Oryzias latipes: one gene and its partners. The main gene of each other region encodes a partner of the protein of the gene in region 2 in a complex. Links are inferred from orthologs where the notes say so. Each region holds a gene or a part of one and is shown on either strand. Other genes may lie near its edges.

The links.
Region 1: ccnc (region 2) and med21 share a complex: the UniProt entries of both Homo sapiens proteins name them as parts of the mediator complex. The link is inferred for Oryzias latipes from reciprocal best matches to the Homo sapiens genes CCNC and MED21.
Region 3: ccnc (region 2) and med16 share a complex: the UniProt entries of both Homo sapiens proteins name them as parts of the mediator complex. The link is inferred for Oryzias latipes from reciprocal best matches to the Homo sapiens genes CCNC and MED16.
Region 4: ccnc (region 2) and med23 share a complex: the UniProt entries of both Homo sapiens proteins name them as parts of the mediator complex. The link is inferred for Oryzias latipes from reciprocal best matches to the Homo sapiens genes CCNC and MED23.
Region 5: the proteins of ccnc (region 2) and cdk8 are in contact, whole or in part, in a crystal structure (PDB 5CEI), measured with the Homo sapiens proteins. The link is inferred for Oryzias latipes from reciprocal best matches to the Homo sapiens genes CCNC and CDK8. Residues at the interface, in NP_005181.2 of Homo sapiens: Met1, Ala2, Gly3, Asn4, Ser8, Ser9, His10, Gln13, Phe72, Tyr76, Lys79, Ser80, Ile81, Asp82, Leu85, Leu93, Lys96, Val97, Glu98, Glu99, Phe100, Gly101, Val102, Tyr130, His134, Leu136, Glu137, Glu139, Phe140, Tyr141; in NP_001251.1 of Homo sapiens: Met1, Asp2, Tyr3, Asp4, Phe5, Lys6, Leu9, Arg13, Gly58, Ile59, Ser60, Met61, Cys64, Arg65, Ile67, Ala68, Leu69, Arg71, Glu72, Leu73, Val84, Leu86, Ser87, His88, Arg91, Lys92, Val93, Asn145, Trp146, Val147.
Region 6: ccnc (region 2) and med25 share a complex: the UniProt entries of both Homo sapiens proteins name them as parts of the mediator complex. The link is inferred for Oryzias latipes from reciprocal best matches to the Homo sapiens genes CCNC and MED25.
Region 7: ccnc (region 2) and med13l share a complex: the UniProt entries of both Homo sapiens proteins name them as parts of the mediator complex. The link is inferred for Oryzias latipes from reciprocal best matches to the Homo sapiens genes CCNC and MED13L.

The regions. Positions count from the first base shown.
Region 1 is NC_019881.2:3,903,237-3,906,445, reverse strand, and holds the end of med21 (mediator of RNA polymerase II transcription subunit 21), read left to right. Parts: intron 1-795; coding exon 796-896; intron 897-1,895; coding exon 1,896-2,075; 3' UTR 2,076-2,341; downstream 2,342-3,209. UniProt on the Homo sapiens protein: Component of the Mediator complex, a coactivator involved in the regulated transcription of nearly all RNA polymerase II-dependent genes.
Region 2 is NC_019882.2:15,127,907-15,132,742, reverse strand, and holds the start of ccnc (cyclin-C), read left to right. Parts: upstream 1-1,771; 5' UTR 1,772-1,897; coding exon 1,898-1,929; intron 1,930-2,261; coding exon 2,262-2,368; intron 2,369-2,509; coding exon 2,510-2,594; intron 2,595-3,060; coding exon 3,061-3,130; intron 3,131-3,267; coding exon 3,268-3,319; intron 3,320-3,416; coding exon 3,417-3,472; intron 3,473-4,164; coding exon 4,165-4,200; intron 4,201-4,278; coding exon 4,279-4,370; intron 4,371-4,457; coding exon 4,458-4,525; intron 4,526-4,615; coding exon 4,616-4,695; intron 4,696-4,776; coding exon 4,777-4,836. Other genes in the region: glial fibrillary acidic protein, read right to left, coding at 25-174, 361-526, 606-799. UniProt on the Homo sapiens protein: Component of the Mediator complex, a coactivator involved in regulated gene transcription of nearly all RNA polymerase II-dependent genes.
Region 3 is NC_019862.2:1,604,781-1,609,670, reverse strand, and holds the start of med16 (mediator of RNA polymerase II transcription subunit 16), read right to left. Parts: upstream 2,905-4,890; 5' UTR 2,747-2,904; intron 842-2,746; 5' UTR 804-841; coding exon 665-803; intron 595-664; coding exon 487-594; intron 406-486; coding exon 236-405; intron 164-235; coding exon 1-163. UniProt on the Homo sapiens protein: Component of the Mediator complex, a coactivator involved in the regulated transcription of nearly all RNA polymerase II-dependent genes.
Region 4 is NC_019882.2:15,918,498-15,923,350, forward strand, and holds the start of med23 (mediator of RNA polymerase II transcription subunit 23), read right to left. Parts: upstream 3,328-4,853; 5' UTR 3,204-3,327; coding exon 3,144-3,203; intron 2,750-3,143; coding exon 2,718-2,749; intron 2,487-2,717; coding exon 2,399-2,486; intron 2,309-2,398; coding exon 2,184-2,308; intron 1,898-2,183; coding exon 1,786-1,897; intron 1,682-1,785; coding exon 1,583-1,681; intron 1,477-1,582; coding exon 1,375-1,476; intron 1,273-1,374; coding exon 1,203-1,272; intron 1-1,202. Other genes in the region: interleukin-20 receptor subunit alpha, read left to right, coding at 4,073-4,121. UniProt on the Homo sapiens protein: Required for transcriptional activation subsequent to the assembly of the pre-initiation complex. Component of the Mediator complex, a coactivator involved in the regulated transcription of nearly all RNA polymerase II-dependent genes.
Region 5 is NC_019878.2:17,538,578-17,542,135, reverse strand, and holds part of cdk8 (cyclin-dependent kinase 8), read left to right. Parts: intron 1-1; coding exon 2-112; intron 113-633; coding exon 634-774; intron 775-1,215; coding exon 1,216-1,273; intron 1,274-1,356; coding exon 1,357-1,488; intron 1,489-1,572; coding exon 1,573-1,716; intron 1,717-2,246; coding exon 2,247-2,316; intron 2,317-2,468; coding exon 2,469-2,541; intron 2,542-2,621; coding exon 2,622-2,719; intron 2,720-2,901; coding exon 2,902-2,980; intron 2,981-3,125; coding exon 3,126-3,284; intron 3,285-3,558.
Region 6 is NC_019866.2:3,591,223-3,595,358, reverse strand, and holds part of med25 (mediator of RNA polymerase II transcription subunit 25), read left to right. Parts: intron 1-883; coding exon 884-1,000; intron 1,001-1,161; coding exon 1,162-1,233; intron 1,234-2,359; coding exon 2,360-2,530; intron 2,531-2,608; coding exon 2,609-2,732; intron 2,733-3,832; coding exon 3,833-3,936; 3' UTR 3,937-4,136. UniProt on the Homo sapiens protein: Component of the Mediator complex, a coactivator involved in the regulated transcription of nearly all RNA polymerase II-dependent genes.
Region 7 is NC_019870.2:12,442,821-12,447,432, forward strand, and holds the start of med13l (mediator of RNA polymerase II transcription subunit 13-like), read left to right. Parts: upstream 1-1,297; 5' UTR 1,298-2,504; coding exon 2,505-2,576; intron 2,577-4,612. UniProt on the Homo sapiens protein: Component of the Mediator complex, a coactivator involved in the regulated transcription of nearly all RNA polymerase II-dependent genes.

The DNA of each region.
Region 1 (3,209 bases), on a different chromosome or scaffold from region 2:
AATACACCTTCCCCACTGTGAAGCATGGTGGTGGCAGCATCATGCTGTGGGGATGTTTCTCAGCAGAAGGCGTGTAAAGATGGAGGGCAGAACAAATGCTGCAAAATACACTGAAATCTTTGAGGACAATCTTTATCGGTCTGCAAGAGAACTACGGCTTGGGAGGAGATTTGTTCTCCAGGTAGCAAACGGCAGAAGCTACACAGGAATGGTTTCAAAAGAACCGGGGAAATGTTCTGGAGTGGGCGAGTCAAAGCCCAGACCTAGATCCCATAGAGAATTTGGTGTGAGGAAAGACACATTTTATAGACCAAGGGGGGTTTATGAAAGCGACTAAAGGGACAAACATCCAAGGGAGGGAATACTTTTGCAAAAGACTGTAAGAGAAGTTATTGTTTCCTAATAATACTATGGAATGTCTAAAAGTAGTAATCCAAAGACTTCACTCAATGTAGGAGTAAACAAATAAGTAACTGTTCAGATAAGTGTCGTAATTTATGGAATTATTACCATATACTGATGATTTTCTAATACGACTGTCCATATTTAAAAATAAATGATACAAATTTGACGAAACATAAATGGTGACTAATGAGATACATACTTTGTTACTGAGTAACTGTCCAGACTTTAAGAAAAAAAAGAAAATCTGACTTTCATAAATAAAACTGCACAAATTTCTTAAGTGTGTGAGAGGAATCCTCTATTCAGTGAAAGCTGAAGCGTTAAAATACCAGAAATAACGTAACATTACCTTCTCTACAGTGACTTTTCTTCCTCTTTTTTTATTTTTAGAATACGCTCAGCTGTTTGCGGCTCTCATAGCCAGAACCGCCAAAGATGTGGACGTTCTCATCGACTCTCTGCCCAGCGAGGAGTCCACGGCGGCTCTGCAGGTCAGCATGGTCACGCACCCACACTTCCTCACTGAGCCACAAACTCCAGGAACCACCAGCAGCAAGTCAGGGGGAAAAGTTTGGAGCGTTTACAGCTTCCAGACAGCAGAGGGAGCCAGAGCAAAATCTGGAAAGGTTCCTGCTGTCAGTAGATGAAATCAACCGGCTCCTATCAATTAGACTGATCAAAGTCATTCTCATGGTAAATGATACAGCTGCATAGACTCAAGATTGCTACTATAAAATATCGACTCACTGGGACAAGTTTTTACTGAGAATTCTGTTCTTAGACTAGACTTGGCATGCTCTCTTATACGCTTTTCCTTCTTTTTAGGTATTAAAGTACATAAAAACATTTCTTCAGACATGTTGACACATCTATAAGGAGAAGTCTTTGTTTAATAGTTTTTCTATGGTCTGATGACAGAGCACACATCCCCTTGTGCTGTCTTTTGGGGTCTAGATGACCCAACTCCCAATGTTAGGCACGTTAACATTGGGAGTTGGGTCATCTAGACCCACTAGACAGTGCGCTGAACCTTTTTTCTTCAATGATTTGTGATCTTCACTGGTGTCCATGGATTACATGAAATCTTTCCACCTTTATCCACCTTTGTCATGGTAGGGAGAACACGCCAATGTAAGTAAAGTAAAATAACTCTTTATTTATATAGCACTTTTCACAGAGAGCGACTCACAAAGTGCTTCACAATGTTAAAACAATATAAAATCAGTAGCAATACCCAATAAAACACACACAGGCATAGAAGTAAACAAACAGGCAGAAGTGAACACAAGTAAAAGTCAGCTAAAAGCTCTCCTGAATAAAATTGTCTTAACTTGAGCTTTAAAACACTCAATTGAGTCAATCTGGCGCAGAGTCAATGTAAGGGCGGGGTCATCTGGACCCCACAAGATAGCACAAGGGTAACACTGGATCAGCATGAAGTCTGTTGTAAATATGTGTTTTTCTGAATGGACCATGTGACCCGTCGCCAGGCAGCCAGTCTGCGGCAGCTGGAGGAGGAGAACCACGAGGCGGCCGCTCGTCTGGAGGAGGTGGTTTTCCGCGGCGACATGCTGTTGAAGAGGATCCAGCACGCGCTGGCAGACATCGCCCAGTCTCAGCTGCGCACTCGCAGCGGAGCGAATGGCCAGCCGTCGCCGGCCGAGTCCTGACTGGGTCGGATTGAAGGGTTTTCCCTGCATGGAGGACTGGGAAGGAACGATGGAAAACAGGGGTGAAAATAGGAGTGACAGGATACGGAATGAAACCCTCAAAGTCTCGCTTTGCTGTCAGACCTACATTTCAACTTGCAAACCCCTGCTTTTGTATGTTTTGTCAGTTTTCTTTTGTATATTTATAACAGTGTGTGTTGTTTTTTTATTTGTGGTTTGTCACGAGGGTAAAGTCTTTAATAAAAAAACTCATTTAATTTGGTTAATCTGGTGTTTAAAGTCCCACTAATCTTTTGATCTACTTCAAAGTGTTCCTAGTGGTCTTTTAATTATGATAATGCTGTTTTAGCCAAAATAAAATGAAAAAACTGTCTCGTTTTCAAGGACATAGTTTCTCCAGAGTGGCAGGAGTTCATTAGAAATTCACCTTTGAGCCGTTGGATGGACTGTTGGAGTGGAGCAACCCCCCCTCTTCCCGTCACCCACCTGTTTACACTCTCCCCCGCTAGCCTACAACCTAGCATTAGCGGTGACGATTAGCGGCGAGCAACATCGTAGCTGTCCAGCCGTGCAGCTTAGACCCAGATTCCAGCTCAGACGAGGAAAACAAGGTCGTTCATGGATCCGTTCAACTGAGTCCATCAGAATGGAGCGGAGCTGGGAGCTTGTGGCCCCGCCCAGCTTCTTTTCTACGTCACGAGTTTTATAAAGAAACACTAATTTTCTAAATGCACGTTCTCCATCATGAGAAAAAAGCCTCACGAAGATGTTAAAAACACCGTTTTGATCTGAGTGGCAGCACTTCTTCATTTTAACCACACACGCCTCCGTCTCCTTATATCACAGCCCATCATGAAACGGGTTTGGGCCCGGTGCGTGTCTCTGCAGGTGGGCCGCTTCAGCTGTGGCCTGGGGGTTCAGTTTGTGGTCAGGACGAGGCAGCTGCCCTTCATGTCCTTATGAGAGACGAGGCGCCATCGGTTGAGCGAACTCTGGAAGTCCTGGAGGATAAGGAGCCTCAGGACTGGGAGGAGGGGTCCATCAGAAGATCAGCCTGTAAATGTAGAAGATTCCTTTATAGCACTGAGGCCCCCGGGGGCCTCAGTGCTATAAAGGAATCTTCTACATTTACAG
Region 2 (4,836 bases):
CACCAGAGTCAACTGGTTTCTTACCCTCTGCTCTCTCATTTGCTCAGCCTCCCTGTTGAGCTCCTTCAGCTGAGACGCGTAGAGCTGCCTCAGGCTGGATGTTCTTTCATAGGAGCTCTTTAAGGCCTCAATCTCAGCCTCCAAAAGGTTGTTTTTGGATTCCAATGATCGAACCTGTGCAAATAAACACAAAAGTGAAAGACCTACCCAGTTGCCACCGGGCTTTAATACTTTTCTTAAATAAGCAAAATTCCCAAGAGGTAAGCACCAAACACAGAAAAGGTTTTAAGGTTTGTCATAGTGTGAACGTGACAGCCAAGCAAAAGCTGCATATTCGACTTGTAAATCTTTGTATCTTGCCTTTTCAATATAAACTGTCAGACGATCATTGAGAACAACCATCTCCTGCTTCTCATTGGTGCGTGTCAACTTGAAGGCCTGGTTTTGTGCTGCAGCCACATCCAGATCCATCTTATTCCCCGGTTCCAGGGATGAACCTACACAAAGGACCCCCATACTTGAACTGCTGCAGGAGCCCAAAAATAATGGTGTAAGTGGCTTTGTGTTGTGGGCTTTTTGTGTAGCTGGCTGAGGTGATGACCTACCTTGTCAGTTTTTGCTTGGTGAGTGCTCTATGCCCCCCCAACTTCCACCCGCCACTTCGGTTGAAGCTGGCTGAGCGGTGGCGGTTCTCTCTCCTGGTGGGAGAAGGACTGGAAACCCGGAGGTGGGATGTTGAGGCAATGTTGTCCTCAAAACAACGGCGGTATGAAGACATCCTCTCCGGGCTTCGGCTCATGGTGGCTTTTAAGTTGATGCAACTGTAGTTGGAAACTGGAAATGGAGCCTTTGCTTCTTCTGTCAGTCTGAGGAGGTGGGGTCTTTATACACTTCTTGGCCCTTCCCCTAACACTACAGTGAAATGCTGAACCCTTCCATACCAAGTATGAATGCCTGCACAGGCATCTATCAACAACAAGCCAAATAATTTGGCCTATAGGCTGTTGAAAGAACATTGTGCTTCGAATGATGAAGGACTTAATTAATTTTGAAGTAAAAGCTGAATTAAACATTACTTTCAAATGTTAAGTACAAGCAAAATGAACAATACAAACTGATTTTTAGTTGTCTTAATTACAATAAAAACAAGTAAAACATTTGAAAAAACAGAACACCACTGACTTCACGAAAGGCTAATTGAAATTAAATAAATACAATAGAATACAATTTCCTGTTTTTCTATAGGGCTACGTAATTTGTTTAGACCAAAGAAAAGATGTCTGCAATCGCTGATCGCTAAATCGCTAAAAGTCAAAAGTCCTTAATTGCTGCTTTTTGTTTTTTTAATATTAATAGACTATATTAGGTATAACCCTTTACACAATGTAGAATAACTATAGCCAAAATAAAATAATTAAAAAAAAAAACAACTTGTAGTTGACTTAACCACAAACAAATATGGTATAAAAGCTCTAGTTACCCAAATGCTTTAATATTCAATTGAGTTTAGGAGATAATCAATGAACCCTTTGAAATAAAGGATGCTATGTTTATTTGACCACTTTCTTTATTTCCTTTTTCCCTTCTGTTGCTTGAAAACCTCATATACTAGCCTCATCACATCTACTTTAAACGTCTAAACATGGTAAATGGCATCTTAAACAATTAGTTTTATAAATGTTTTAATCATGCAAAACATGTGAGTATACCCTCTTTGAAGTAATCGTGTTTCCCGACATTTACAGGAGACTGCGGAACCAATCTTTGGGCTCGTCGGAACGTTATTCGTGATACACCAGCTCTGCCACTTTAATTACTTTTCTCGCTGTCTCCGCTCTTTTGTTGGTTAAAAAAAACACAATTTTCCTTTCTGTAAATTTCTACCTCAACTGCAGTGATGGCGGGTAACTTTTGGCAGAGTTCTCATTAGTGAGTTTTTGTTAAAATAATATCGACGTTGTGTGTGTTTTTGTCGTAATCATCAGCCGCTTCGCTTGTGAGGCCTAGCTAGCTGCTATTTTTGTTCTGCGTTGAAGCTAACAGTTTACTTATAGCATTGTGGTGTAAAAATAACACTTGGGGAACACACTGTAACTAAAAATGTGGACTTTCTTTCCTTTGAGCTCCAGCAATGGTTCTTGTTTTCGTTGTGTTTTGTTGCCGTCACGTCAGGAGCTTGTTACTGTTAGTCAAGTGAATTTGACCCGTTCAAACGTCTGTATAAATTTATCATATAAAGTAATCTTGCTTATCTTTTAAAGTCTGCAGTGGGTCTTGGACAAACAGGACCTCATAAAGGAGCGCCAGAAAGACCTGAAGTTTCTCTCGGAGGAGGAGTACTGGAAGCTTCAGATTTTCTTTGCAAATGGTGAGTTTTTTTTCTAATACATTCATGCAGGTTTTGGGTCTGTTTCCGGGTCTGTTTGAAAACATGAGAAAATCTTGAATAGTCACGAACAAAACCTAAATCACACACTTCAACTAATGTTTTTCATTTGGTATTTTTCAGTTATCCAAGCTCTGGGCGAACATCTGAAGCTGCGCCAGCAGGTCATTGCTACTGCGACTGTGTACTTTAAGCGCTTCTACGCCCGGTAAGGAGCTCGAAACGCTTTTTCCATAAGTTAAGCTGTTGGTATTTTACACGTTTGTGCTGACAGCTCATGGAGGGTAAAGTGTGAACATATTGGGCAGCCCTAATGAGATTACATCAGTGTTGATGACAGTTTCATTTCTGCAGAGCATCAACAGCTTTTGTGTCCGGGAGCGGATAAGTTGGTCTGGTTTATTGAACCCTGTAACAAAAGGCTGTCGACATGATGTATCAATGAGTAAACAAAGGAATGTTTACTTTTGCTGACATTAGCATAACAGTTAGGAAGGCAAAAAAAACAAAAAAAAAACTTTCCTCTTTTGTTTTAAATTCTTTCCCTTAACTATACTGTGCTTACTACCCATGTAGCCATGATTATCTTTGGCTACTCTTACTTTTTGACGTCGTCAGCATTTCTTTCCATGATCTGTTTGTTTAATATTTAAATACCTTGTGTCATTTTGCAGGTATTCTCTGAAGAGTATAGATCCGGTGCTCATGGCTCCCACTTGTGTGTTCCTGGCCTCTAAAGTTGAGGTATAAATTTGGTGGAATCATCTTTAACATTTCATGTTACATTTCATTTTTAATCATAAGTGAGACACATTTTAGGGTCTTTAACTGCTTCTTTAGTACACACGATAATCTGTTTTGTATTGCTTATTTTCCTGTAGGAATTTGGAGTCGTGTCCAACACCAGATTGATCTCAGCCGCCACCTCTGTATGTAAGTGACCCACATTGTGGATCTCAAATTTAAGTTTTCCCTGTTTTCATTTGGAGTTTCCAGCAACACAAATTTTTTTTCTTCTGTTTTTTTGTAGTAAAAACAAGATTTTCTTATGCCTTTCCAAAGGAGTTTCCTTACAGAATGAATCATGTGAGTAAAACACAGTGGAAGTAATCCGATTACGTCTGTGATTTTATGAAAAAGTTAAGAATCATGAACAAATCTGACGATGCAGAAATGTGACGGTAAACAGTAAATGCCATCAAGGTTTACTGGTTTAAGTTTCAAGAAGGTGAGGTCACATCAAACTGCTTCCTCTGCAAAGTTATTTATGTGCTGCATTGCAGCTTACCGAGAAGCCTTCAGACTGTATCACAGTGTTGCCACATTACTGCCTATCAGTGCGTTAGATTCCTCAGCTAATGTTCACACTCTGCTGACAAAAAAAAAGTCAGTCAGGGGGCTTGCTGCTCAATGCTTTTGCCTCGCAGATCTCCAGAGTTTCCAGAACAAGACGGCTCTGACGTAATGCTATATAAGCTATAAATTACGGAGGGGGGGGGGTTCAGACGGCAGAGATTGAGGTAGCAGAGGGCCGTGACTCGTAAACATCATTCATCTTGTGGACATTGGACACTTAGTAAAAGTGTGACAATGATGAAGTGCGAAGCTGTTAAAAGCAAACAAAGTCATCATCTGTACAGCAGGAGGTCAAAGGCCAGTCTGATGACGAGACTTAATAAATAAAAATGAATTCACAAATTTTGGGGGGCATTTTCAAAGTGAAAACATGATTAAATGTCTTTTTGAAATAATTCTAAACCTCTTTTTTTTCCCCCCAGATTCTAGAATGTGAGTTTTACCTTTTGGAGCTAATGGTGGGTGGAAATCTAGATAAAAAGGATGAGTTGTTTCATAGAGAGAAGAATTGATCCTTGATTGGCTTAATTTTTCAGGACTGCTGCCTGATTGTGTACCACCCCTACAGACCTCTGCTGCAGTATGTGCAGGACATGGGGCAGGAGGACATGCTGCTGCCCTTAGCATGGTACGTTCTGCCTCGTTTGAACAAAACCCATTGATGTTAGCTTATTTTTCCGCTGGAAGGCTTTGCATTGTTTTCTGCCTTTACCAGGCGAATAGTGAACGACACGTACAGGACAGATCTGTGTCTGCTCTACCCTCCCTTCATGATAGCTTTAGGTAAGAAATGCCTCTTAGGTTTTGAAAGTAGAGCAGTTTAACTCACATTTCAAAAAGATGGATTAATTACTGCTTCTGTTCCTCCATCAGCTTGCCTACATGTGGCCTGTGTGGTGCAGCAGAAAGATGCCAGGCAGTGGTTTGCAGAGCTCTCTGTGGACATGGACAAAGTGAGATTCTTACCTTACTTTGATGTCCGTGTTGCACGCTTGGCTCTAAATGGGTGTGTGTGTGTTTGTGTGTGTGTGAAGATCCTGGAGATCATCCGCGTCATCCTGAAGCTCTACGATCAGTGGAAGAATTTTGACGAC
Region 3 (4,890 bases), on a different chromosome or scaffold from region 2:
CACTGGCCGTCAGCAAGGAGCCGCCTGGCTTTAGCAATGACACGGAGACCAAACCGCTAACTGTTACTGCTAACCAGCCTTCCATTGGTTTTCCTCCAAACAGGGTGAGAGAAGGAGAGAACTTCACCCGGGAGAACTTTTCTCCAAAGTTTGTGGAACCAGACTGAAAGCAGAAGATGTCGTGTCAATTTTTTACTGGTTCTGGGGCTTTTCTACTATGTAGAAGGTGCCTTACCATCTCCACATGCAGAGCCAGTTTGACTCCATTATGCAACCAGCTAAGGGCAATTATGGGATCTCTATCCAAAGAGCTAGACAGGATGCTCTCCCAGCTGTTTACCAAGTGATCAGTCATGGACCAGCACTTAATCTGACCATCGCCATCGGCAGAGAGCAACCGTGATCCTACACACACAAGAACACAAGCACTTGACAAAACAATAACAGTTTAATACTCTGAAAAAAGTCAACTAAAGTAAAGCCTACCTGACTGGTCCCATTCCAGGCAGGAAATGACCTCAGTGTGACCAGAGTTGATAGAAAAGACATCCCAGGGGTGCTCAGTGTCGATGATGTGGATCATGTGACTGACATCTGAAAAAGAGGTTCAGGTAGCCGGGACCAAGAGTTGGACGTGTGTGCGTGTGCGTGTGTGTCTGTGTACCCTTCTCATTGTCGTCACTTTTCAGGTCTGTGGTAAACGCCACCAGGTTCCTGCAGGACCACGAGCACACTACTGGTATGGATGGACAGTGAGCGTTCTTCTGTCGCTTCTCCCAGTCACAGACATATGCCAGTTCCATGTCCAAAGGGGAACAAAGACGCCTCGTCCACACCTGACCTGAATGGGAGACAGAGGAACACATCTGTCACTAAGTGAACACATCTGTATTTCAAAGCAGGTTAGAGGTTAGATCATTGTTAAGGAACAGAATAATTAACCATGTCAAGCATTATATTTAGTAAGTTTCCATTTAATCCTATTTTGATCTATTGTGAAAACATACCCAGTCAGGGTAGGATTCTTAAAACATCCAAAACACTATTTCCATCACAGTGGGTTTTTTTTTTTTAACCAAGTGAAACCCACTGAGATCAGATCTCATCTTCAAGGGTGACCTGGCCAAGAGGTCAGCAGCATACGCCACATGAATAAAGTCACAATATTAAACAAATATGACACAGAATGATGACTAGAGAATTTTACAATGTAAACTTAAAAGTTGAAAGTGAGGATCAACAAAGTGACTTGGTAATGTTAGATGGGAATTTGTGTCATTTGGAGAGTACAAAAGTAGTGAGTAGCATGACATTAATAGCCATCAGTTATCAGTTCACGTTAGAAACACAGACATTGAAGGACGGACCGTTTATATTTGACTCAATATAATGAAGCTGAAAAATCTAAGTGAAGAAAGTTCAGACCATTTATGAGGTTTTACTAAAATATTTTTAAAACGTTTGCAGATTAAATTTGTGAATCTCCAATCTCCATTCCTTCACTACAGGAACTAAATTCAAAACTAGTTTTGAATTTACATTGAGTTTAATGGTCAATGGAGCCAAAACCTCAACTATGAGAAACAAAATCTGAAAAAAATACAGAAAAGCACATTGTCCAATTTTTAAAGAATTCATTCGTAAATTATGGAGGAAAATAAGTATTTGGTCAATAAAAAAGTTCAAGTCAATACGTTGCTATTTACCCTTTGTTGACAATGACAGCAGTCAGACGTTTTCTGTAAGTCTTCACAAGGTTTTCAAAAACTGTTGCTGGTATTTTGGCCCATTCCTCCATGCAGATCTCCTCTAGAGCAGTGATGTTTTGGGGCTGTCACTGGGCCACACAAACTTTCAACCCCCTCCAAAGATTTTCTATGGGGTTGAGATCTGGAGACTGTCTAGGCCACACTAGGACTTTGAAATGTTTCCTATGAAGCCACTCCTTTGTTACCCGGGCAACGTGTGTTTAGGATCGTTGTCGTGCTGAAAGATCCAACCATGTCTCATCTTTAATGCTGATGGAAGGAGGCTTCCCTCCAAATCTGACCATACACTGCTCCATTCCTTCTTTCCTTTACGCAGATCAATCGTTCTGTCATTGCCATTCATTCATTCATTCATCTTCTAATCTGTTTTATCCCTCTCGGGGTCGCGGGGCTGCTGGAGCCTATCCCAGCCACTCGCGGACGAAGGCTGGGGGCATCCTGGACAGGTCACCAGTCTGTCACAGCTGTTATTTCCAGCAAATGAACTTTTGTCATTGATCATTAAGTTATTTTCTATCATAATTTACAAATAAATTCTTTAGAAGTCAGACAATGTGATTTTCTGTTTTTTTTAACTCATTTTGTCTCATATTAGTTAAGGTTTACCTATGATTAAAATTACAGGCCTCTCTCATTTTTTGAATTGTGAGAACCTAAACAATTGGTGGCTGACTAAATACTTTGTTTGCCCCACTGTAAGTAAACCTTGTATGTATTCGGTCATTTATTTAAATTCTACCATAAACTTGAATTTGCTCACATGACAGCACCACGAAACACATCAGTCTTCTGGATGTTTACCCCAAGTTTTTATGAACAACGATGCAAGTTTGAATTTCCAAAAGAAAAGTGTTGCTCGTCAACAGTTCGGTTTTCTTGACTTTCTTTACAAACAAACCCAGCAGCAAAACTCCAGAAAAAACGTGATGCAAATGAAAAGAAAAACCCGCTGACTTAGTCTATTATGATGAACTCACCTATTTGAAACTGGCTTTCAAAAGTTAACAGCCAAAACTGAAAGAAGTTTTAAGAACGACTTCAGAAAGAAAACATAAATACGAGTTGGAAAGAACGGCACTTTGAAAGAAACAAAGACCGCAGCAGAGACTGGCGCGTGTCAGGCCCCCGTATATGTGTGCCTATACAGCTGCCTGTCTGAAAAATATGTTTAGAGTACGAAATAAGAAAATTAGGCCCAGACAATTTATTACAAAGCTTTCAACTTAAGTAAAAACATTGAAGTAATTAAAAATCCACACTGTGTCTTCTACAACGTTTCTAATAAATACTTTTATGATCCTATTTTAGTCTGGCTAAACCCGAGGTAAACCTTTTTTTCCCTCTGTAACTTTATTAACAAGGAGCAAAATACAAAGTTAAGTTGAATACATTTTCAATTCTCACTCTCAAAAGAAAAAGCAATACTTCAAAATGCTTTTTCATTTTATACTTCAACCCAGCTTTTTCTGTCACTTAATTAAAATGATAAAGAAAATGGTATTTGACATTTCATTTTCAAAAAGGTCCCTGGTAAATGTGTAGCATAATTCATTTAGAAATGTCTAATTTGACAATTAAAATGGATTAACAGAAATGCTTTTTAATTTTCAAAATGTAGCTGCATTTTTTGACTCAAAATTAAAAAGAAAAAGCAATATTTCAAAATGCTTTTTCATTTTATACTTAAAACCGCTTATTCTGTGTCATAATTAAAACGAAAATGCAAAGAGGGGATTGCATTTGCATTTTAACATCCACCCTGCGCACCTTGTCACAATATTCATTTCGAAAAAGCATTAGCAGAGGGGAGGCGGGGCGATGACGTCACTGCTTTCTCTGTGTGTCCGGCTGCTGACTGACGCACACACACGCACCAGGAGCAGACTGTGTTAGTGGCAGAGAAGAGGGTTTTGTGATGGTTGTGAACTTCTGATGAGTTTCCACAGCTTCTCAGGACTAAGTAGCTGCATGTCCGCCTTCTGCGGTCCTCCTCCTGACGCACCGCGATCGCTGAAGGCGGAAATGCTGCGGCGATCTGAGAAACCATCATATGAATTTGTGTTTCCAGTGGTGTCCAGAACAAAATAAAGACTGATTCCCACATATTTACACATTTATTTGCAGCTTTGCGGTGAATTTGCTGTATTTTTTGAATTTGATGTATTTTCTCTCATATATTCCTGTTTTGATGATTTTAATACTCATTTTGTTAGTTATAAGTTCTCTGTTTTTAATAAAGGAATGTAGGGTGTGAGAAATCTGTCAAAAAGAAACATAGTCATAAAAACAAAGTTGCAAAAAAAAGACATGAAGACAACATTTTAATTTTACGTTTGAATGCGATTTGTCTTTGTTATAAATACGACTCTTGTTTGTCTTGAATACCAAATTTACCTTGATAACAAACTGTCAAAAATACGTCACATGGTCACAGGCATACGAGTCCCAAAACGTTGATTCAACTGGGTGAGCATGTACATTCATGTACATTGGAGACTCTTCTTAAACTAATAGAATTACATTTTTTAGACTGCTATGATGAATGAATGAAAGAATGTTATAGGTCTGGCTGGAAATCTGTCTTAAAACCAAAAAAAAAGTCATTAACATCACTGTCCTGCTGAATTTCTTTGTTGTCAGGTGAGAACACCTGGGGGGCGTATTCCAGGAAGCATGTTTAAACTACCCTGACTTTAAGCCTGAACTCTGGCTGAAGTCCGCCTGAACTTGCTTACTCTGGTTATGTCGGTTCCTAAAGACCGGATATGAGTTAGCGTAATTACGCTCCACTTGGTAACCCTGGGTTAATGCACATGCGCGGCAAGTACATAAAGACATTCTCAATGGATTGCCGATTTACGGAGTCACCATGGAAACGCGTGGAGAAAAAAAGAAAGCGCTATACTTTAGTGAGACGGAGTCTGAGATTTTAATGACGGCGTATGAAGATTATATGTCCATCAAAAAAGTAACATGGCTGCATCATCAAAAGAAAGAGTTTTTGCTTGTAGTAGAAGAACAAAGTAAATGCACGAGTTTCTGATCTTTTTCCATTTTCATGTGACGCATATATTATATATATATGTATATATAACTTATCCAATTTTTCCAATTTAAATGA
Region 4 (4,853 bases), about 790 kb from region 2:
TTAAACTTCCAATATTTACAAGGATATGTGGAAAAAGTTGAATAATTAAGAAAACAACAATTTATAAAAGAAATTTACACTAAAAAACATTTTAAAATGCCAATATAGTGTTATTTTTATTTTTTTATTAAATAAAAGTTTTCTTTTCTTGGAAAACCCTGCAGGAAACTGATTAAAAAATATATATATTTTAGTGTGAATCTGATGTTTGTCATTTAACCTTCCTAGGGACAGCAGATTACGAACATATATCATTAAAATCTGTACTATATGATGTTTCTTCCATGATTTTAACTGTTTTGTATAAATCCCAGATCTATTTCGATCTATTTCTTACTTGGATAAGCATTAAAACACACGTTCAGGGACAAGAAAAAAAAATGAATCCCCATGGATCCCCATTTATTTGGATCTGCCACGCACACAGCATGGAGAGCGATAATCAGCTTCACGCTCACAAATCAAGCAATGGTGAACTTTACTGTAGGGTCAGTAAATACCTATAGCTGGCTTATATGTTTATTCTAAAACTTGACTTTTTAAACTTCCTCCAGTTTATCTAAACACCAGCAAGCTGTTAAACAAGCACAAAGAAGAGGCGGAGTCGGAGGACTTCCTTTTTTTAAATTATTGCATTACACACAAAATTTACAGACATTATGTGGGTTTTTGGTTACCGGTAATTATTAAATTAGAATTAAAAATTAAACGTAAGAATTTCTTGTTAAAAGAAGGGCTTGGTATCGCAACCAAACTACTGATTTGATTTCAAATTACAAGTTCACAAAATGATTTGCATGACAAACTTTGCTTTTAAAACCACTTAAGTTTGATTATGAAAAATTTGTTCTTAGAAAAATTATCTTTCAAATTGAGCAAAAGTGGAAGTTTTATTATTAGAACTAAGATTGGTCATGTTTTTATTAACAAAAAGCAGTTTTTTTTATGCCTGAAAAAAATATCATTTAATACCGTACAAGAGAAATCTAGCATCACATTGAAAGTAAAAAATGTTTTCAATTTCAAAATAAAGTTCATGCAAGAAGGGGTTAAAGTAAAATTAATTTATTGATTTGTTAAACTGATCCTTGCTGTTTTAATCCAGCCGTAGTTGAAAGAAATCTAGCATAGTTAAATGCTTTAGAAAGACAAAAAATTGTAAAATCCTTAAGTGTGTGTGTTTGGGTGTGTGTGAGTTTTACCACAGATTGAGTTGATTCTTGCTGTAGGTCTGAAACTATCCACAAAGTCTGATATTAAACTGCCCAAAATCTAAAAATCAAACACAGAAAACCCCAAAAATCAAAGACATGTTTCAAAGAATTGAAGATGTTAGGGATGTACATTTACACACTCGTGTAATTATTCACATACCCAATGTGAGAGCTGGCCTTCTGGGTACAGTTTTCTTATTTCTGTTACAGCAAAGTATGCTGGGAGGAGGCAGGCGTTTCTGTCCAAAATGTACTCCACCACCTGAAAAATGGGCAGAAACGACTATCTGAGAATTACGGTTTGTGTCAAGACAAATAAAAAACTGGATCTGAATTACAGAATTCAAGAAAACGGGAATGATCTGTACCTCCCTGGCGGCCAGCAGCTGCTGGAGTATAGCTGAGCTGACAGTAATGGGGACGGTCTGAATTTTATCCAGAACACCTTTCAACAGATCGCGTACACCCTAAGGAAAATATAGAGCAGATTTTAAAAACAAAACTAAATTCTTTTAAAGTCCATTAATGTCTTTCAAGCTTAAAGGAGATTTATTTTTAGTGCGTCAAACACCTTGTAGTCCACCCCTCCGATTATTTTGCGGATGAGCTTGAAGGTTAAAGCCCATAACTGTGTTCTTTCCCACTCCAAGCTGTCTGAGCTAATGAGAGCTACACACACCATCCTGAAAGCAAATGAATTCATCAAAGGAATGAGTCACACAATTTCAAGCCTCACAATGAATAAGCAAACAAGCTAATACTGTCATTTTCAAAAAGTGGTCAAAGCAGAAATGCACTTTGAATTAGAATCTGCAGAAATGAATAAAAAATAATGTGTTTAATAGTGAAAATATAAGGAAGAGGAAACACTCAGCTTCAAAAAACTTTATATGGAGCTTTTATCTTTTCATAAATTGCATAAATGAATGTAAAGAATGTGGGCAGACTATGATAAATGAGTGTATGCACCTGGGAGGCAACAGACTAGTCTCCACAGCCATTGCAAGACAATCATACAAGAAGGAGATCCTTTTGGGACTGCGCTGAGTGTGTATGAAGCGCACAATCCACTGAACACACTGCTCGTGAGAATCCTGAAGAGGAAAAAAAAGAATAAATATACAGAATATGATGTATCTTTGTGTATAAATGTTTAAGATATTAAAAAAAATAAGTTTAAAAACCTGTGGCAGAGTTCCCCAGTACTGTCTGAAGGCTCCCAGACAACTGATGAGTTTAGTTCTTTCATCCTCTGGAGTGTCCATGAACATCCTGAAACCCGAAAATGCCAGCTTCACTTTTTTAGTTTAGGAATAAGAACCATTTGTTGTCAATCCAACACAATGTTTAGGGGTGAAATATGTTTTAGGAGCAGAAAATAAATTAAACAAACTACAGATTTCTATTCTTTTTTTTTAAAATCAGAACTAAAAGTCAAAGCATTTTGACCTTTTTTCAACATGTTTATTACTCATTATGAATAAAAGTTAGTAACAAGCTTACCCAGCAAAAGCTTCTTCTATTGTCTCAGTTTTCTGAAAGATTGAGAAGAAGAAAATATGATTTATGATGTTAAAAGAGATCAAAATTCAAAATACAAACAACCAAAAATAAAATTTTCCTATTGACAGCAGTCAAAGGAAGAAAATAGCCTTTGCTTCAAAAATACCTAAACAAAGACTCATTCATTTTGAGGATAAGTGCCTTGTTAACAAAAGCATCACCACTGACAACAGATTATAATCCAAACCTGATACATTTGTTTGTTAACAAGTGTTATTCACGTGTAATTTAATTTGTGTATTTTAATGCAGGTTATCTACAAAAAAAAGATAGTTCGCAAAAATACTAACAACAATAAAAACAAGCATCATCAATGCTAACAGATCCTCTGTCGTGGATCCATTTTTGTTATAAGGTGCAATTTACCACGACATCTTCAAAGATGCTCTGCAACTGAGACTCCATCGAAAGCGCCATATCGATCATTCAGAGTGAAATCTGACCAAAAGTCACTACGCTTTGTTGCAAACAGAGCTCCAAACAAACGGCATGCTAATGTCTTTGGAGAACGAAGCGCCACTTCGTGTGCAACTGAAAAGTGATCCGGGTGAACACTTGAAACACACACTAAATAGTTCCGCTACGCTCTAACTTTATGTCCACCTACTAAAAGTCATGTTAATTCAGCGCCATAAACAGTCGCGGCGGGCAACACCGAGAACTTTGGTCTCTTGTTAAAAAAGAAAAAAAAAACTTATGCTGAAGATCAGATAAACTATCTGTTTCAAGAAACGGGGATTCTTTATTTTCAAATACACGCACTGCTTGTAGCCCACAAACTATTAAGGGCACTGATCAAAACATTACTCTACTGTTTTAACTCTCAACCACTTAATAAACTTTCTTGTTTATTCGAAATCAGTGACAACAGTTAGTTTGCAAATTATCCCAGTAATGTGACATAATTTAGATGAAAAGTCAATGGGTGTTTCAAAATCATTGGCTGTGGTAAACTAAAATAAAAAAATGACGAGGTCGTGACCATCCCACATTAATTGCACCTGCTCAGGTGTCGTGCGCGCGGACAGGTACAGCCACATTCCTTTCTCAAACACGGAATTAACGCGTCGTTGAAAGGGGATTTTTTTTGCAGAGCGCTCCCATTCATTGAGCGCATTCTTACCTCTACTTCCTTTTTTCCACTTTTAGTTTAACAGATTTTTTATTTTACTTTCTTTTTAGTTGAGAGGCAACCCGATTTCTTCAATGCGCGTGAAAAGTCACTGGTCCACGGCAGGTGGAGGGACTGCGCAGCTTGATTCTCCTTAAAAATAAACTAACCCCCGCGCGCAAGGATGTGGACAGCCTTCGTGCTAATGAACCTCTTGGGTCTTACCTGCACAGGTAAGAATTTGTTGACATGTTATTGTGTGTTAAAAGAAATCCTCGCGCGCTGGATGAGAAAATTGGTCAAATGTGTCCAAAAGGAGAAATCCGATCTAATTTTCCCAAGGCTTTCTGTCATTTCATATTGACTATCTCCTTTTTCTCAATAAAAAATAAAAAAGCAAAATGATCAATTAACAGACTTTTTTTTAAACATATAGGTTACTTTTAACAGCTATTAAAGAATTATTTAAATCTTTGATTTTTTTTTAAAGACAACAAGTTTATAAACGTGTGTGATCTGGTTGTAAATGTAATAATTTTAAACCTTATTTAACAGTTCAAGATAACAAAAATAATCAACTTTATAAAAAACATAGATGGTTTTTTTCCATAATGTTTACCTTTCTAGATGAGTTTGCTGTTAATTGATCAATAACAAATCAAAAACGTCTATCATTATTAACTAAATGTAAAGCTAAAAATGCAGTGTATGAGCTGTTTTTACACAGTTCTGTGGCATTTATGACTTCTGTGAAATAGATACTGCTAAGGTCCTAAAACTCAATTACATGCCCTTTTGTTCTCTGAGGCTTTATGTAAGTATCATATAACAGGGATTGATCTATAAAGGTTTCTTCTGAAACTTTGTTGAAACAACAAAGATGTCTTCTGTAGGTGTTAATGGCATAAACTCTTAGTTATACCCTTTAAATTTCTGTCTTTATTTAAACGAGCTGCAGCATAGTT
Region 5 (3,558 bases), on a different chromosome or scaffold from region 2:
GCTGCTGCGGGAGCTGAAGCACCCCAATGTCATCTCCCTGCAGAAGGTTTTCCTGTCACACGCGGACCGTAAAGTATGGCTGCTCTTTGACTATGCGGAGCATGATCTCTGGGTAAAATGGAAACACACACTGGAACTGCACTACTCATCAATCACACTACTGCTGTGCGAGGGGAGAGCCAATACGATGTTTTTCTACTTTAACTTTTTTCACAAGTAACAAATCCCCACCTATGCTCAACGATATGTTACATAAATTACACTGCACGTCAGTACTTTGAAGATTTTTCTCTACACGCGGGAATGCGCCCCTTTGATGCTTCACACTTCAGAAAGAAAAAAACAACAACACTCCAGTCTGTTGGTGTCATGAGAAGAATTACTTTGCTTTTTGGTAGTTAAACCCTTTTCCATTTAAGTAAGCAGTTACGACTGGCAGAGAATGTAAGTGAAATACCTTTTACTGCCGCAGAGCTGCAACACTTGCATTCCCCCTCCACAGAAGTGGAAACACATGCTTAAACCATATTGCCTGTAGAACACACATGTCAGTGTGTGGATCTGTAGAAAAGAGTCCATTTTGGTAAATGTGCTCATTCATGGTACAGCTGCTGTTTTCTTGTCTTCCCGTAGCACATTATAAAGTTTCACAGAGCATCCAAGGCCAACAAGAAGCCGCTTCAGCTTCCCAGAGGAATGGTGAAGTCTCTGCTCTACCAGATTCTGGATGGCATCCATTACCTCCATGCCAACTGGGTCCTACACAGAGACCTTGTAAGAGGATTGGGGTTTAGGAGGGTGAAGGTTTTTTAGCTAAAATAGAAAGAAAAAAACCAAAGTAAAGAAAAAAAAATGGATTAAATGTAAAAACAGCGTGGGTTTAGTGCAAATTACCACTTATCCTTTAAAATGCTAAATAGTGCTGACCTTCTTTAACTGATATAGGCTTCTTTTCATATAATATTTCTCCTTTTGTTTTTCTCAGAAAATATAGCACCTGAGCTTAATTTACAAAAAAAGCTAATACAGCTTATGAAGTTTTGATTTTGTCCACTAGAGGGCAGCAACAAATAGTTTTTGTTTAATGCATTTACTTTTACAGTGAAAGTCAAGTTCACAAATTGGACTAAACAACAACAAAAAAGAGACAGTTGCTGTTGCTTATCTTGTTCAAATTTTACTGTAACTTATTGTTTTTTTTATTGCCCTATTTAGAAACCTGCTAATATTTTAGTGATGGGAGAAGGGCCTGAGAGGGGCAGAGTAAAGATCGGTATGCATCACTGGACATTTACAAATTGCCTACAATGGTTAAGACTTCCTTTTAATTTTACTCAAAACATGCCTGTTGTGCAGCCGATATGGGGTTTGCTCGTCTTTTCAATTCACCGCTGAAGCCTTTAGCCGACCTGGACCCCGTGGTAGTCACTTTCTGGTACAGAGCACCTGAACTGCTGCTGGGAGCCCGGCACTACACCAAAGCCATCGGTGAGATAGTCTTCTCTAAAGCTTTGTGACCGTTTTAGGCGAAACCATGAATCATGGATCCATTTGTTCCCTTTTTTCTGCTAGACATTTGGGCAATTGGCTGCATTTTCGCGGAGCTGCTGACATCTGAACCCATATTCCACTGTCGCCAGGAGGACATCAAGACTAGCAACCCCTACCACCATGACCAACTGGACCGCATCTTTAATGTCATGGGCTTTCCTGCTGGTAAGATTCAGCTGCGATCAGAATTCATGGGGAAAATATGTTGCATCTGCTTTTTGCCTCTCCAGTATAGAAATAACGTTTAAAAACTTTACCTCCATCTTTGAAATTTTTTTATTTATTTGCTTCTGATGTTGCTGACTTCTGAAGTTGGTAATGCAGTCTGTGGGTTGTGAACATCAGCCTTCAGACTCTAAAATGTAAAACCTTTTAGTTGGGGGGCTACATTTGTACCAATAATTTCCACTTCACTTGATCTGATTTTTTTCTTTTTCCCTTCAGTCATTTCAACTGTGATCAAAGTCTAATACAGAAATCAAATGGACAGATTGCTGTTATGTTTACAGAAAATCAGCAAGTTTATATTTTTAGATTTTATTTGCTAGTTTACTGAAAAGAGAGTCAAAAAAGCACCACTTCTCAGTTAAAAAATAGAGAATGGCTTGTAAGTTGAAGGGTACAAAAGTATACTTAAAAAGTGCAGTTTATGAAGTAAATGAGGGAATGTCACTGCATTTCCCCTCATCTAACAGATAAAGATTGGGAAGACATCAAAAAGATGCCAGAGCACTCCACACTCATGAAAGACTTTCGGAGGAACACGTGAGTCTTTTTTCATTTTTTGCTTCAGCAAAGTGAAAGAAACATTGGATTTTTCCTCAAGATAATATAGCAAGTGCATAAATATTCCTAAAAATGTGTCTTGATTTCACTAAAAGAAATTTTAAAAAAAGTTACTTCTAATCTAATTGCAGATACACAAACTGCAGCCTTATAAAGTACATGGAAAAACATAAAGTCAAACCAGACAGTAAAGCATTCCACTTGGTGAGTTCAAAGCCTCAGTAATGGAACTTTCTTAACTTGTATTTCTGTTTTTGAGACTCTGGCTGTGTGTTTCACTACAGCTCCAAAAGCTTTTGACCATGGACCCCATCCGCAGAATCACTTCTGAGCAGGCGATGCAGGACCCTTACTTTTTCGAGGAACCCTTACCCACATCTGAGTGAGTTACAGCAAATACGAGTTTATTCCCAGTGTGTGTGTGTGTGTGTGTGTGTTGTGCGAGCTCTTCACTCGGCTCGCATGATCAAGGGACCTCTTGGAAACGTCTCATCACTAGTTGGATCTGAGACGGGGGAATAAATGTTTGAAGATGATAGATTATTTTGCCTTTTTTCTCTGCAGTGTGTTCGCCGGATGTCAGATTCCTTATCCCAAGAGGGAATTCCTGACAGAAGAGGAGCCAGAAGACAAAGCGGACAAAGTAAAAATCTGTTGTTTATTCAAATAGTTTTTTGTTTTTTTTAAGAACTTTGTGTCCAGACAAATAATGGAAACATGTACATACAGCAAAACGTTGGTGTAAAACTATAATGATCTTTTTTTTGGGGGGGGGGCTTTTATTTTAGAAAAACCAGCAGCAGCAACAAGGAAATAACCACACAAATGGGGCGGGGCACACAGGCAACCCAGAAAACAGCCATGCACAGGGCCCTCCTCTGAAGAAAGTGAGAGTTGTCCCGCCCACCACTACCTCAGGTGGCCTCATCATCCCCCCAGACTACCAGGTAAACCATGCATCTACCACCACCATGCCCGCCTCCTCTTTCTAAGCCATGTTCAAACCTCCAGCTCTTCTGCATTGGTAAATGGGTGTTATACCATGGTGAATTCTCGATTCTGATGGGCTGCTGGATGTGCATTAAAAAGTGATATACCACAGTGATATACCACTAAAAGAGAAGTTCCGGTCACATAACATAAATGTTCTGTATCACTTCGCTGGCTTCTTTAAAACTATTATCATGTGGACAAAAAGAGTTGAACTTTCTCTTTGAACTG
Region 6 (4,136 bases), on a different chromosome or scaffold from region 2:
TCAAGATTTTCTGTAAATAAATTTGAAATCCAGTTTCTCCTTTTTCATCATTTCACTTTTAAGTTTAGGAAAATTCTTTTGATTTTAACTTTTGTGAATGATTCCGATTTTCAAATTAAGAAAATAAAGTAAAAAGATGATCCAACTTTGAAGAAGTTATTCTCACATTGGTCTTAATTTAGTAAAAGTAAAGACCTAAAGAAAGACAACGTTGTTTTTTTCTAAATTCCGTTAATCCGGTTGTGTTTTTCTCAAAGGTTTTTCTTTGAAGTCATCAAACATGAATCTCAGTCTCAGCAGCTGGTTTTGGAGGCTGGAGCTCCAAACGTTCCTCCTCTCCAATGATGAAGCAGCTTTGTGTTTTGGTCACAAATGATCAGTGATTGATTGTTCAGTCTTTCTGTTGTTTTTCTGCTGTCATCTGAAATCGGGAATGACGAGCATCCAACAGGGAAAAGGATGAAAATGACCTAAATGTTTGTGTTTTAGTCTGACAGTTTACTGGCAGAGCGTGATTGGATGATTCGATTTTCTACTTATTGAATGGCATCATAATTTACTGTACATAAAGTTAGTTTTCTGTTGTTGAGTATTTTTAGCAACCAAACAATGGAAAAACATGAAGGGAGACTCCAAATATTAGATGCCTGGAAGACTAAATTTGGATTTAACTCTTTATTTCCAACTCTAGAAAAAGTCCCTGATTGCTGTTAGATATAAGAAAATTATTGTTTTCTGTAGTTCTTTGTCATTTCAGCTTATTTTAGTTAAAAAACTTTAAATAAATCTGGTGCTTTTCTAATTTTAAGAGTAGGAAACTGAACCAAAAAAATGACCAAACGATTTTTTGATTTGTTTGTTTGTGTTGTTTTTTGTCATTTAGCAACAAATGGGTGCATCTGGGGGCCCAATGCAGCCTGGTCAAGTTCCCCCCAACCAGAACTTTCTTAACAGGGCCCCTGGTCCTATTCCCGTTTCCCACGGTAACGTCCAGCCTCAGGTAAATGACAGGGCTCTGCGCTGGCGATGCCTGCCTGCTCCTGGACACCGGGTTTCTTCTGCACGTTTGCACTTCTGCATGTTTGACTGGTAACTCTTCTTTTTCCTTCACCTTCATTTTTGCGTTCTGGCTTCCACCACTCTGGCCTGTGCTGCATCCAGTCTGTGGTGGTGGGCATGCCTCCTGTTAGTCAGGTCTCCATTATGGAGGAGCAGCAGAGACAAAACAACATGGTGAGATGCAAAGAGATTCCTTACAATTCAGCACGTTTCGATTCCACCAGGCTGGACTTTTTCTTATTTCTTTGAGTTCTGATATAACCTTTTCAGACTGTCACTACCATCTCAGTGCCTGTTTTTACTACCGCATGCCTTTACTGCTGAATATTTAGCTAACATGTGTGTTTGTGTGTTCAGAATATGTGTTCAACCCTGTGGCTTCACATGTTGGTGCCATTCAGAGGTTTTACAATTTAAATATCGATTAAGATGGGAAACGATTGAAGCTTGTTGAAAGTCCCAGCAGCCCCTTTATGGGTGGATACGGGGAGTCAAACCCGCAGGAAATTCTGAAGGTGTTCAGTTAGCCTGTGAGTGAAAATGCTGATGCATCATTTTTTGTTCCCAGCGAACTCTTAAACAAACACGCAAGGGGGAAGTAGGTGAGGCGCATGCGGGTTGTATGGATTTTTCATGTTATCCAAATCCTGTAGACCGAGCAAGCGCCGTGTTAGTGCTTTTCACGTGATACGTGCACGCTCCCCGCTTCAGCCTGACTGTTAGAAATGAGGAAATTAGACAATCAGAGTGTAGATTGTGTGGGCCTCCAGGCGTCCCACGTATCAAATGCACACCCTGTGTGTGCGACATCTGTGCGCGGTCGGTAAGGGGCCGGGACTCGCACCTTACCAGCGACTATAGAGGCATGAGGGCAGCAGACGACAGCTTCACCTGAACGCCACACGTGCGTGGAACTTACATTATCCTTGCAAATACTTACCAATACTTTATGACGTCCCTTAAGGGAACAGCAAGACACACCTGCGCTCCTCCTAAGATGCGGGGTCTCTATGACCCTCTACGGGCCCGAACGACCCAAAAACCTGCAGCATCCCCATAGAAGTGCATGTGACTAAAGCGGAAGTTTCTCCTCAGGTTTTTAGGTTAAGGTGTACAATCGCTGATGATAAATTCTGTTCAAGCTTCAGACTTTGTTTCCAAAATCCGCTGAAAGTCAGATTTCTGCCAAACGTTAACCTTACAGAATGATTTACTTCTACAGCGTCATTTCTCTGCAGGTCAACATTTCTCAGATGTTCTCATGTGCAGATTAAAACTGTGTTGCTAACCGTTCACTCAGATGACAATAAGAACAGCTGGACCAACCAATCAGCAGTCAGCGGTTAGTGGAGCTCCGCCCAATCAGATGGTGCAGAATACCCAGGCGCAGCCTCAGGGTCCCATTCTTCGCCTCTCAACCCCAGGAGCCAACCCTCAGCTTCGCAGTCTCCTCCTGAGCCAGCAGCAGCCAGTAAGACTGCAGGGAAGGACTCCGTCACCTGTCCTGTAGGAAAACTCTGAGCTGAGAGGGTCTGTGTCTGTGTCCCAGCAGCAGGGAGGGGTTCCTCACATGCAGGGCATGATGTCTCACCAAGGCCTAGGACAACAGTTGGTCCACCAAGCACCAGGAGGGGGGGCTCAAATGCAAGGCCAGTGGAGGCAACCCATGCCAGGTCAGCAAACAGCCGTCACAACGGGGAGAGTCCCACACAAATGTCAATATGGAGGTTATCTAAAAGACTAAACATTGCTATAAATAAAAATATTTAACATGTCGAACATTTTTTAGAAGAAATCTTATGAGGGTGTTTTAAAAATAGTCACTTTTCAAATGAAAGCAGATCTTTTGTGAGTTTAATGAAGTGTTTTTGTAAAAATGCTGCTTTTATTGTGTAGAACAACAAAACATTTTTGTACAGTAGTACCCCAGAGTTACATAAGCCTCTTCGACGGCACTTAAAGCTGCGTCACGCTGCCACTGCGTACATGTTGCACATTTTCCACCTATGACATTTTGGCCTTTCATGATGCATGTGTGATATACGTAAAGTCTTAGTCATTTGTCGATGTCCGCCGTGGGTTTGGTTTTGAGCTGTTCAAAGTTTTGGCTCGGTTTTTGCGTATTTTACGTGCAATTGCTACGGAAATCTTGCGCAGTTGTGCGCGATTTTTGCGGAATGCAAATTTATGGCTTTCCACGACCGCTCCACGTAAGTCTAACGGGCGTTTCACGCATATAACTTGTATATATAAACGCCGCACATATCTCATTTGAATTACATAATTGAAGCACGAATCACTCATGAATTGCACATAAACTGCGCAATAATGGTGCAGTCATAATGGTGGTCAAACTCTACTTATACCTCAGTTAATTATCACTGTATTTAATTAAGCATATATGATTTAAGTGACATTTTTGTTTTGTTTTCTGTCTTTTTAATCTATGCATTTCATCATTTCTGTAATGAGTTTGATAAATATGTGTAAATTCTTTATTGCTTTGACTACAATGCTTGAAATAAATCAATAAAATCAAAAATCAAATCAATCAAAATCAATAATCACGCACGGTTCATGTTCTACGTTGATTCACGTGTTCTTTGCGTGGTTTATCTGTACGTGTGCGGTTTGTTCATTCTCACAAACAGTGAGATAGACAGTGTAAGTCCATTAGCAAATGCTTCTGCTGGTTGGACTTCAAGAAAATCAAGTGGAAAATCTCCGATTCTTGCTAAAGACGGGAATGTTTTTGCCACTTTCCTGCGTTCAGGTCAGATGCTGATGGCCGGCGGGCAGAGAGGACCCGTGCCCCAGACTGGGATGCAGCAAGTCTCCAGCGCCATGGAGGACGACCTTCTCATGGATCTGATCTGAAGGACTTCAGTTTTAGTTCCGGCCGCCTGCTTCAGACATCTGCTCTGTTTCTTTCTTGGTTTAAATGTTCGTCGTAATCAAGAAATGAATCATGAGTAGTTTCTCCTTTTTATCCAGAGGCCTAAGCAGTGTCAGTTAATTAAGGTCAGACAATGTGAGCATTAGATTTTCATGTAAATGGTCAAACCGTGAGCACGCTA
Region 7 (4,612 bases), on a different chromosome or scaffold from region 2:
TGAATGGATGCTGCACCCACAGTCAAGACTTACTGCAAAGCAAACACTTGCACAGTGTTCCAACATTCACAATGTCAATGAGAAGTATATATTTTAACGCTCTTAAAGCATATTAAGATATGTATTTGGGTCATTTTCGAATTGGAGGGCATTTTATGTCGCAACCATCACATTATGAAATGTTCTGCATACAAAATACAAAAAAAAACAAAAACAAAAAAAAAACCCTGCAGTTAATAAAAAGGACTTATACTGGAACAAAATCTACAAAAACTACAAGAAAAGAATTCCTACAATTGTTTAAAAAATACCAAATAAGCATTGAGTGCCCCTAAAAAAATGCGATTTTATTCCTTGTCCCACCCCCTCTATGTCCAAATTTAAATCTTCAACAAAACAGTTATCAAAGGAACAAGTGTCCCACAATGTACATGCAACCCTTTACCATAACCTTTTTAACATGGTAGAAGAAGAATTACTTATTTACAAGAGTAAGTTCGTCCTCTTGGTGATCAATAACAGCTAGTTAAACAACTGGCTTGCACTCCTGAGAGATAGCTAAAATAACATTTTCGACCCTGTTACCTGCAAAAACATTTGGAAAATGTTGTAAACAACAAATATATAATTTAATAAAAAAATGTACAATTGATCAGTAAGTTTAGCTATTCAAGCATTTGACAGTTTAATACTTATTGATAGATATGCAGCAGAAGATCAGAAAAGTGAAGGTTTACTTTTCAGGAATTTTGAAGCCCAAATGTCCTCCAATTCTGGAAGGACCCATATATGTATACCTTTATAATAGGCCTTTATGTAATAGTAAATAGTAATGTAATAGTATTAAAAAAAGAATCAATCGTCTTAACAAAATAAGCAGTAACAACACAGGCCTTAATTATTGGTATTTTCCATAAAAAAACAACTTCACATGTTTTTGTTTTTCTTAAAGCTGCATCAAAGAAACCTGAATTGTAAAAGCCAGATTCAGGTCACGTGATGACAAAGTTGGCCAACTGGGAAAAGCGATTCTGAGCTTCAGACCTCCATTACATCACAATGCGCGATGGTTTTGCGGCAGAAAACAAGACGCTTTGGAGCTTCGAGTAAAAACAAGCCCACTCTCTCTCTCTCTCTCTCTCTCTCTCTCTCTCTCTCTCTCTCTCTCTCTCTCTCTCTCTCTCTCTCTCTCTCTCTCTCTCTCACACACACACACACACACATGTGCGCACACGCACGCACGCACAGGGTGACACATTCGGGCTGCGCACGCCCATCTCAGTGTAATAACGCCGCTGCGAGACATAAACAATGAGGAAGGAGCAGTCGCGGTGGAGGAAATCATGCACATGTCTGAGGATTTAAATCAACAATCAATTCATTTCTCTTGAAGAAAGCGGATTCATTGGGGGGAATCGAACGCACGCCACATATTCTTTCCTGTCAATAAATTCGGCGCCAGACGAGGAGGGCCACTTTTTTTGTGTGTGCTGCTTCGAGTGTACATTTTTTTGTAGAAATAGTACTGGATGTTTTTGAGCAAGACTGAGGCTTTTGTGGCCGCGCGAGGACGTTTCGTAATGATAGAAAACTGAAAGGAAGGAAGGATTTTTTTCTCTAACCTCCGTCTACAGTCGCCTGCCGTTTTCCTGCTGTTGGAGTGTTTTACTTTTTTCTTGCCTGAGCGGTTTGACTCATGGTTCTGAGCTCGACTTTGTCCCCCCCCCCCCCTCCCCTCTCTCATTCTACAGCCTGCCCGATCGTTTGATTGAAAAGCAACAGAGGGATTAAAACCTTCGTTCGTGCTCGCAGCGCCTGTTTTGTGTGAGCCTGGCTGGGTTACATTGTGAGAGGAACGGTTGTGGCAAGAAAGAAGGCTATAAATAGCGCATGCAATTCTCGAAAACTATCACAAGTGGTGCATCAGCTTGTTGGAGCAGACGGAATCAGATATCCTGCATGTGATATCTGCGCGTTTATTATTTCTCCGCGCCGTCGATCATGCGCATGCGGTTCGTCTAAAGAACAAAGTTGATGCGTAATTTTGCATTTTTCTGTTCCTGGGCGCAGAAGACGGCACTCGATCTCTGATGGATTATGGTGATTTAATTACGAAACTATCCGCGGACAGACTGCTCTGGAAAGGGTCTGGTCTTTTGTGTGTGGATTGAAGAAATGGAGCTGCTCTCCGTCAGCGATCAGATGTGGAATCGCCCGGACCGGATTGTAATGTTGTGATCCCCGCACATGCTTGGATTTATTGCGTTCAGGCTACAAGAAAGCTCGGGCTTCATTGGATGCATTCTGCACTTCTTTCTGAATACGCCCATTCCTCCACCGACCATCCCGTACAGCCTGTTATCCGGGACCTCCTTGTGAGGGTTTAAGCCTGCTGGTTTCGGCAGACTCACAAGGGGAACCGATTCGTCACCCCCTGCTCGGTGCTAGCAACCGATGTAGGATTTCGACATGCCATGCGCTGACGACCCCAAAGGCGGACGATTATGACTGCATCGGCGAATTGGGTGGCTAACGGGGCAAGCCTTGAGGACTGCCACTCCAACATCTTCTCTCTGGTACGATAAATCCTGTTCATCACACACACACACAGGCAGGCAGGCAGTTGTGATCGACAAAGTCATAAGACCGTGGGAGGCACGCTTCAGTGTGTCTGTGCGCAAAAGTGAACCAAACGCTGATGTTATTTGACAATCATTAACAAAAGATCTCCAGTAAGGCTGTTATGATGGCACACTCCACATACCTAACCAGCAGGAACTCTTCTTATGGTATTATTTTACGCATTTATTGCCAACAATTGGAAAAACGAAGCTGTCTTTCTCAAATATATTTCTATTGAAATATTTCCTAATAATAGTTTTATGTGTGAAAAGAATTCCATGACCTCAGGAACACTGAGGAAACAAACATGTCACACAACAAAGATGGCTTTTGGCAATCAAGCATATCACTTTCATTTAATATATATGTAAAAAATGGGTTGGTTTTTTTTTTTGACTGAGTGCAGTGTCATGCTTTCTTGTGCACAACTCTGGTTTTTGAGGGCGGAGGAGAAAAGAGCAGAGTGTTTTCACAGTTTTCATCCTGTAGTCAGCGAGTTAACTGTCTTACCACAACAGGCAGTCAAGTGGAAAGGCATGCAGTGGACTGGGCTCAGGCTGCTGAGAACCACAACAACATAGGGGTCCTGGGGGCTTTTCAGGTGAGGTGCAGGTTGAGGAGCAATAACAGTCCCTATTACATTAAACAAATCACTGCAAGGGTACACAAAACATGTTACTAAAGGAGGTTTGAACGAATGATCACAAAGAGAGTGAGGAAATATTTCCTTTTTTTACAGCACTGTGTAAAAAGCAGGGAGTGTGTGGGACTTAAAGCTACCCCATTAACTTTTTAAAAGCATCTTGTGTGACTTTCTACGCATTCATGGGGAGATGCATCCCAATATAAGCAGTCTTAAATCTTCTCAGCTTGACACAATAGAAAACAACGATTGCATTTCTGTCACCGTCTCATTCGTGGCTATTCCCTTGTGGGGAAAAAAAAAGCTCTCATTCACTCACTGTGGCTTTATTGGCCATCGTGAACATCCCTTTCAAACTGAGGGTGAACGAAACCATCCATCAGCCGGCTTGTTGAGAATATTTATGACTGGCGAGTGCCTCAGCAGTTACTCACTGGCAGGGTTCCTGCAGGGGAGTCCTGGATGGGACAAAACACTAATGACACACCAAGTGTCCTGGTTAGAGGCTACAGTGACAAATGTAGGGATGGAAAAATGTATCGTTGGGTTTACAGTGAAGGAATGTGCAGGGAAAGGTTAGAGGTGCAAGTTAGGATTCTGCAACACAGCAACAGATTTTTAGCAAAGTTGCAGTTGTTGGGTATATATTTGTAAGTTGTCCATGTGTTGCATTCATCCCTTAACCCTGTTTTCACTTATTAGACTAACAAATGGGTTGCGTGTCCAGATATGGGAAATTCTAAGACTTGAATTACAGGTTTTTACGTTTATCCTGTTTAAAACTTGCAGTTTTAAATTCATCTAGCTGCACAAAGCTACTTTCTAGGGATACCACAATTGTCACTCAAAAACCGAACCACATGTTACACCATTAAACCGATTAGGGAATCCCTACTGTATACCAGTATGTTTACATTGAATGTGTCCAAAAGTTGTGCTAAATTAAAGAAGGTTTTAGCAATTATTGTTTTATTACATTAACCCAGGCTTATTATGAGCCAAGTAGAGGGATTTTCTTCATCGTTTCTTGCTTTCTAGCAAATTAAAAAAAAAGGATTTTTCTGAATTTTTAGGTTTTTGTGTATTTGTAATAGACAAATCATATATCGAACCGAAACTAAACCGTGACCCAAAAATTGAGGTTTTAATTATGGGGGAAAGGGGAATCGTTGCAACTCTACTACTTACCACAAGTAAAAGAGATGGCATGGCTGATTAACATTATTATCCCCTTCTCCAAGTCTGCTCTTGCCTGACTTGTTTGACTCTCTTGTCTTGTTTCAGTCTCCAGAAAGATGTTGCTCAAACTACATGCGGCTTGCACAGGTCACACACACTTAAGCAGGA